Linked DNA regions of Rattus norvegicus. The protein of the gene in region 2 binds, or shares a complex with, the protein of the main gene of each other region. Links are inferred from orthologs where the notes say so. Each region holds a gene or a part of one and is shown on either strand. Other genes may lie near its edges.

Region 1 (3,813 bases), on a different chromosome or scaffold from region 2:
CACACGGACACACACACACACGGACACTCCCTCCGCACCCCATCCCATCTCTCTCTCTCTCTCTCTCTCTCTCTCTCTCTCTCTCTCTCTCTCTCTCTCTCTGAGGCAGCACAGTAGAAGATCATATCTCTTCTGACACCAGAAAGGTGACCAGAGATGGAGATACAAGTCAGTATTAAGGTGCCCTCTCTCTGCCAATGTCCACTGTCCACAATCCTCAACTCCTCTCCCCATGAAGTCCAAGCAGCACTCATGGGAAGAAGCTTCATGCGTAGAACTCGTTGGTGGGGGCTTTTTTGTAGATGGGTTTCTTGCCCAAGTCGTAACTGCCTTCATCCTTCTTCTTCATGCGGTACACCAGCAGCAGGATCAGGAAAACGGCGAAGAGGATGCCCACTACGCCGCCCACAATCAGAGCTGCAGTAGGGGAGAGCAAGGAGTGAGCGTTGAGAGGGCGGTCACTGCAACCTCAGGGTCCACGAGCTCTCCCTCCCGCCTCCCCCCACCATCAGTCAATCTCGACAAGACCACCCCCTACACCAAGCAAGATGACACCTCGTTGGCGTGGACCTTCACGGCTTCCACCAGACAGGAGATGACGAAGCAGTAAGACCACAGCTAGAGTGGATCACAAAGCAACACCACATTCCATCCCACATCTGCCCTAGTCCAAACCTCAGGCCCATTCTCCAGACATCACGTACACTCTCCAGCAACAGCAGCATTAAGCCAGGACCAAGGAAATTGGCGGGTGGCAGCAACTCATGTAGATGCTTCCGTCCTTACCACGGGGTACGCTCTGCCTTTCCCCCGAGTGCACAGGTCCCACCTAGCCCCATGCATCCAGGGACAGCCACCATAGTCTACGAACACGTAGAACACACGGATGTCTAGACTGTCATAGTGCAAACTAGTTCCGATTCTCATGGTTTTGTTCCTGTGTCTTCAACAGTGGTTCCCACTGGTTTCTCCTTGAAATCCACACCTTTCCCAGCTACTATAGCTGACGAGGCAAGCTTCTTCCTCTCTCCCATTGCAACAGCAAACAAACCCCTTTCTTACATTTTTCCCTTCAGACTACGATAATCTACTTCAAGTGCCCAGTGCCCTCCGAGCTGTAAACCTCTGGCTTTCTCCTGTTCCTCACAACTCTCACCCTGGCCCTCACCCTCCAGCTCTGTGAAGAGCTCCTGACTAGAGCCAGGCAGTGGTACACTTCTCCACGTGGGTGAGCATCTGTCTACCCTCCAGGTGGCCCGAATGACTCATTTCTGTTTGTCAGGGGCAGGGACAGAATCCTTCCCGTGGCAGATTGAATCTCCTAATTCGGTTTTACCCTAGGCTAAGAAGATTAATTTCCCAGCCCTGCATACGCTACAAATCTACACAGAGACTGGTGCAGGGGAGCCGGAAGTACCAACAAGAGTTTTTCTACCAACAAACAAACCAAGAACAAAAATGCTGCTGGGTACCAAAAGAAAAAGTATAAGCTACCTTCAGCCTGTCTCCAGCTCCTTCCCTCCCAGAACTCAACTTCTCCTTCAGGCCCTTGATCTGCCCTGGGAGACCCTGCAGGGGCAAGGACCAGCCGCAGGTTCAGAAGCCAACTGTGTGCTCCAGATCCAAGCAGAGTTCACTATGTCCTGGCTCTGTGACCTGGACCAGTTATTCAGGTTCCACTTTAGGAAACCGTAGAGACTCCATGAGTGCACAGGAGCCACAGAACACACACGTCACAGAACTCCTAGGCGCTATTTAAAAGCTACTGAAGTGGAGGGTTCCAGCCGGACTTCACTGTCCTTTCAATGGTGAGGCCACGGGAGCTAGAGAAATGGATCTTTCCTAGGGAAGATCTTACATTGGGGTGACCACAGGGTGGAAAAGTGAGCTAGCCTGGGGTTAGTTCTTCTCTAGCTCTGTGAGCCCCACAGAGAAGAATGACTGGTTTTCGAAGTTTTCTTGAGAAGCAAACAAAAAAAGACCAATGAACCAATCTAAAACACCACGTGTAAATAAAACCGGTAACCAGCAGGTCTAAACTATGAGAGAGTGAAACTCTGCGGTTGAAGCCCCACAGAACAGTTGTTTCCACAAAGCTCGAAACAAGGCCTAACGGTCTCTAGGGCCCTTGCTCTGACAGCCACCAAGGCAGACTGGTGAAGGAAAAGCTGAATGAATGTTGACAAGACCAGAGGCAGAACCACACTGTGACCCTGTCACTGGGCCTGCAAGACAAGGCCAGTGAGATCCTGAAGGAAGGAGATGGGACAGTGACATGGGCACAGGGGTCCTTATTTACACCTCAGTCTCCTCTGGCCCAGTTGGTTTCCAGGAGACAGGAAATACCTAGCAAGGGCCTGCAGCACCAACACCTCCTCACCAGCCAGTCCTCCCAGACTGCCTGCCTCACTGGAAAGTTTGCTCCTTCCTAGACAACCTGGTATAGAGATACCCACTCATCTTGAGCGGCCTGAATGAGTGGCACTACCCCCGACTAATGTCCCTCATCCAGGCCTGACACAGCCTCTCCTAAAGCTTCATGCAAGGCAGCACATCCCCCTGACAAGGATCATATTCTAGTTCTGTACCATAAAAACATCCTGTGTCCTAACTAAGAGACAAACGAGAGTTCTGAAGACAGCACAGCCCTTCACAGAAGGAGGCACCATCCTTCCCATTTCACAGAGGGGTAAATGAAGGCAGGATACTCAAAGAGCAACCAGCCAAGGTCATTGCTATGGAGAGATAAAGAGATAGATAGGAGGGTGAAAGGGGATCCAATCTAATTCCAGTCCGGACTTCCAGGCTTTCAAGGGAAATTAACCCTTAAATAATTAACTCCGGATGCCAGGGGAAAAGACTTTGAAAAGCACCAAAGGGGCCTAAGGAAACAACTCCTGTTCTATTCTCTAGAAGCCTTTAATATGCATTCGACTATCCCTCCCAACCACCCCTTCAGGGAGATAAAGCCCTTAGCTGCCCCAATGCAAATCAAAAGACACACCCATGCCCGCCTGTCTGCTTCCCTCTTCCCTCCAGAACCTGAGAGAAGGAAACAGTCTTACCTGCCAAGACCTCAGTTCTTTCAAAAATGTTGCTGCCCTGGGAAGTGCTGGACATGGACACTTTGTTGGACACATCGTCATCCCCCACGTCGGAGGGGACCCTTTTGGGAATGACCTCATTCTCTTCCAGTTCCTTGGGCTCTGAGGGGACACGGATGCCAGGCTGGGCATTCTCGGGGATGTGGTTATCTAGTGGCACCTGAAAATGGAGAGGACACTGAGCACACCTGGAGAGGAAGCTAGGTGGAAGGGGACCCTAGAAGATGACACAGGGTGGGTGGGAGTCACATCTGCCTCAGGCGGGAATGAACACAGGCAGAGGCGTGGGGGAGCGGCAGCCTTCACGCCTCGGTAGGCAAACGCTGGAGCAGCCAGTACAGGTCATGTGGGCCCACTTGCCCCTCAGGAAGGCGACTCTGCACCTGCAAGGCTCTCCTAAGGCAGAGAGTGTGTGTCAAACGCTTGGAGTGTTTTACTCTTAGGGTACCAAAATCGATTGACGACCATTTTGTCAACCAGAGGAACAGGACGCAGCTGTAAAAATGATGAGGGGGTTAAATGATGCAGGGAGACAGGAGTGCTGCGGGGAGGTGGGGGTCAGAGTTTCTGGTACGACTTGAAAACAGTGCTGGTGAACAGTCACAAATGCACGACGATGAAGCTGGGCCTGACAGTGATCTTCTCCACAGAGAAGACACACCCTGCCTACGCGTGTCCCCAACGAGCCTGGCACCCCAATAAAAAGCCT
Region 2 (3,913 bases):
AGTTTTGCCTGTAATCCCGGCCACCTAGGTGGGGTCCTGGCGCACGTGGTGGGGAGAGCTCATCCTGCAACTTACACTTTATGCATAGCACACCTAGTAAGTAAGTGAAAGGAACGAATCCGTGAAAATGTCAAAACTGAGATGTGGAAAGTGCAGGGAAGTTTAAGGCTTAAATGTCTGAGACCAGCTGGTTCCAGAGGTGCTGGAAGGACTTAGTGGTTTAGTGGAAGGGCATCTGGCTCACTGTTAACGCAAGGTATGTGGGCTGTGGAGGGAAAGCGCAGTGATAACTCCATGGAGCACTATGCTCTCTCCTCACACTAACAGGGTATCTCAGTAGTGAGTCAGTCAACCCGTGTGACATGTTAACCATAATAGATTATTAGAAACACCTAGCGCTTACTGTAGCAACATACCCCATGTGGCAGAGTTTGTAGGCATGCGTGTGTATTGAAATAGGAAGTGGAAGTTTCCGTCTAACACAGCCCTTATGCTTCAGACCCTTTGAACGGACAGTTACCATGCATAAGGACAGCAGTGGACATGTTGGCTTTATCTTTAAAAGTGGAAAAATCACATCCATAGTGAAAGACAGTTCTGCTGCCAGAAACGGCCTTCTCACTGATCACCACATCTGTGAGATCAACGGACAGAACGTCATTGGCTTGAAGGTAAGGAACTCACCTTACCTTGAAGGTAAGGATCCTGGTTTCGGTGTCATTTTTTTGTAGAAAACATCATTTAGGTGGCAGGGCTTTTGTGATGACCCCCCAGTCACACTTGGTGGGAGGTAAGTGCAGGAGCTGGGGCTCTGGCTCTAGCTTAGGCCATCCAGAAGTAACTTTGGGTTATTTGAATTACCTTTCCTATGCCAAGGTGGCTAAACTGTGATTACGGGCATTCCTTAAGCTAGAATTCTGTTGAGACATGGGCAGGGAAATATTCAGACATTCTGAATGGATGCATGGCCAATTTTTTCATTCCAGAAATACAGAAAAGGAGTAAGTCTTGGTACTTAGTAATCCTTTGTATTTTTGTAGATTTTGACTAAGTCCATAAATTCTAGAACACAGTTAACTGTGGCGCAGGTAGTTCTCAAGCAAGAAAAAAGAGTTTTGTTCCGTACCTTAACTTTGCTACTAGCTTAAGAAAATTATATGTCAGATTAAAATCAAAATTCTGACATACCGGGACTGGGACTCCAGCGATATCAGCAGGACAACATCAAAATATAGTGCCTTTTTTACCTAACAATAGAGAACACCTTAGTGAAACTTCATTCTATTGTTTCATCAGGATGCTCAGATTGCAGATATACTGTCAACAGCTGGGACTGTGGTCACCATCACAATCATGCCTGCCTTTATCTTCGAACATATTATTAAACGGTAAGTAGATTGGGAGCTCTTCCACTTATGCTTGCCAGCACCTGACACACATGTAAACACTGCCTTCGGCTTGCAGGTCTTCTGCATATTAGATTAGAAATCTGGTCACGGTGGTTCCTAATGGGTGGCTTGCCTGCGAGGTATTGAGAGTGGCTGTTGCTGTTCTCTCCTGTGTTTTAGAAAGTAGAGAGCTGCATGGTGCTCACTATCTGTCCTTGGGAACCGAAGAGGGTACAGTCATAGGCCAGCAAGGTGGTTCTATCCAGAGTTTTCAGATCCTTTGTTCCTTCATAGCTGTTGCCATGCTGTCTTGGACACACTTCTTCCAGAGCCCTGATATAGCACATGAAAGTGAGATTTGGAATATACATAAACGTAACCTTTGTAATGGATTTTTGTTTATATGTTTGGGTTTTGGGTAGAATGAAGCTAGCTACCCTCAGAGCAGGAAAAAGAGTTGATTGTTGTACAGTCTTTTTTAACTATGGTAGGTTCCTTATCCTCCCTCCTTTTCTTCTGAGTCATCACAGTCGTCCATTTCAGTTAAACAACCAGTCTTAGTGTAAAGGCCTCGCACCTTCTCGCATGTCTATCCCTGACGTAAATATCTATTCTTCCTGGACAGTTTGTGACAACTCAGATATTAGTTCCTTAGATCTGTGCTCATTTAAAGACCTTTCCTTCTTCATCAAATTCATCAGCACAACAGGTGCTAAACTGGAACTGGGGTTGTCTTAGGTGAACATGGTATTTTTGAAAATAAGACGCCAGTTACATGAGTGGCTCTCTTGTAGGATGGCTCCCAGCATTATGAAAAGCCTGATGGATCACACCATTCCTGAAGTTTAAACCTTGTACAGTGCATCACCGCCGAACGCTTCCAGTCTTCCTCTTCGGCAACTTCTCTATTTCACCGCACATGAAGCTTTCCCGGATCCAGGGAGACTGTGCTGCATGGAGACCTGTCTATCTTCCACCATGGCTGGGAACCTCACTCTATCTGAGAGCGTCTTCAGATTTTAAGATAGGTGTAGCCTTATCCTGGTTTTACAGATGTGAAACTCTCAAAAGATTCCCTGACTTTCTAGACTTGGTTCTTTACTGGGAACCTGATGTTTTTCTATAAGCCATTGTGATTAGGATGACTGGTGTAGGCTTAGCTGTGTCCGAGAACTGGTCTGCTTTCTCCGAGAAGTGCACAGTGCTAGGCACGTGCTTCAGTTCTGTGGCATATGTGGATTGTAGTACATCAGCATAGTACCTGTAGGATGATTGCCTTTGATCGCTACTTTTTAAGTTTGTGTGTGAGTGTGTAAAATTCCAGTTAATCAACACTTCCATTCCACAAAAGCATTATACAGTTCTGTGTAGGTGGCAAGAGACTAATGATTGTCACTAAATTCTAACTACCTTCACTTAATGTGCTTCAGTTGTCGCCTTAACTACAGTAAGCATTTAGAATAAAAGCCAAAATAGAATTATTGCTGCCTTCTGAAACCTGAGAGGTTAGCTCTCTATCAAGCTGTTCTATGCTAGCCCTGAGCAGCTTACTGGTGTCGCAGAGCTGCCTAGCTGTACCAAGATTTTCTAGTCACTGCATAAAGGAAACGCCTAAGAGTTGCCGTATTGCTTTCTGAGATACAAATTGCTATATATTTCATGTAAAAGTTGTTATACTAAATAGGATAAATTTTGGAGTCTCTTTTTCACTCGTAGATTAAGTGGGTAATATCTAATTTGGCACTTGAGTCCTAACATTATGTAACTTTAGCTAGGTTGGGGTGGGTTTAGAATGTTTCCCTAGTCATCTCAGTTTGTTCCATTTTCTGACTCTATCCTGCAAACAAAAATGGCAATGACACTTTATCCTGACTCTTTCCTTCTTAGTTTGTGCCTATCTTATTATTTTATGTGATATTATCCTATTAAATGTATAAAAATATTAAATGTCAGTCTGTCTGTGATTGCATCAGTCCTTACTGTGAGGTTGCCTGACACCCAGGGTCTCTTAAGACAGTCCTAGAGCTCAGACTGTCTGGCAGTACACTAGCTGGGAGTCTTTATTGGCCAGGCCGTGGCCCTCTTCACCCTGCACACTTGATGTCATGGGACCACACTTGCTGGGAGGCCTAGATGCCCAGCCTGTGGCCACCTTCTCCCTGCATACCGGGCGTCAAAGGAACCTGGAAAGGCTGCTGGGTCCCTAGTAAAGCCAGAGACCATCCACATGTATTAGTGACACTTAAAACTAACTCGGGGTTCTACTACTTTAGTCTGGCTCAAGAATTTGTCCTTTTCACTGTAACCATGCTTCCAATAGCACAGAAAATTTGTAGCTGCTGTTCAGAGACTGAACGGAAAAAAAAAAAATCTTTGCAGGCTCTATATAGGCTACCTTGTTGGAAATTTATAATTCCCAGTTTGATTATCTACCTTGCTCTATGGACTTGTTCTGAATGTAGGTCCAAAAGAAATGAAATTGTATTTGTGTCATTAAGTATGGTTTTGTAGAAGGATTAGTACTT

The links.
Region 1: the proteins of Sdcbp (region 2) and Sdc4 are in contact, whole or in part, in a crystal structure (PDB 8BLV), measured with the Homo sapiens proteins. The link is inferred for Rattus norvegicus from reciprocal best matches to the Homo sapiens genes SDCBP and SDC4. Residues at the interface, in NP_001007068.1 of Homo sapiens: Gly207, His208, Val209, Gly210, Phe211, Ile212, Phe213, Lys214, Thr219, Val222, Asp251, Ser252, Ala255, Leu258; in NP_002990.2 of Homo sapiens: Thr193, Asn194, Glu195, Phe196, Tyr197, Ala198.

Annotation. Positions count from the first base shown.
Region 1 is NC_086021.1:173,575,836-173,579,648, forward strand, and holds part of Sdc4 (syndecan-4 precursor), read right to left. Parts: intron 3,265-3,813; coding exon 3,066-3,264; intron 418-3,065; coding exon 266-417; 3' UTR 1-265. UniProt on the Homo sapiens protein: Cell surface proteoglycan which regulates exosome biogenesis in concert with SDCBP and PDCD6IP.
Region 2 is NC_086023.1:24,311,373-24,315,285, forward strand, and holds the end of Sdcbp (syntenin-1), read left to right. Parts: intron 1-499; coding exon 500-671; intron 672-1,296; coding exon 1,297-1,388; intron 1,389-2,182; coding exon 2,183-2,237; 3' UTR 2,238-3,340; downstream 3,341-3,913. UniProt on the Homo sapiens protein: Multifunctional adapter protein involved in diverse array of functions including trafficking of transmembrane proteins, neuro and immunomodulation, exosome biogenesis, and tumorigenesis.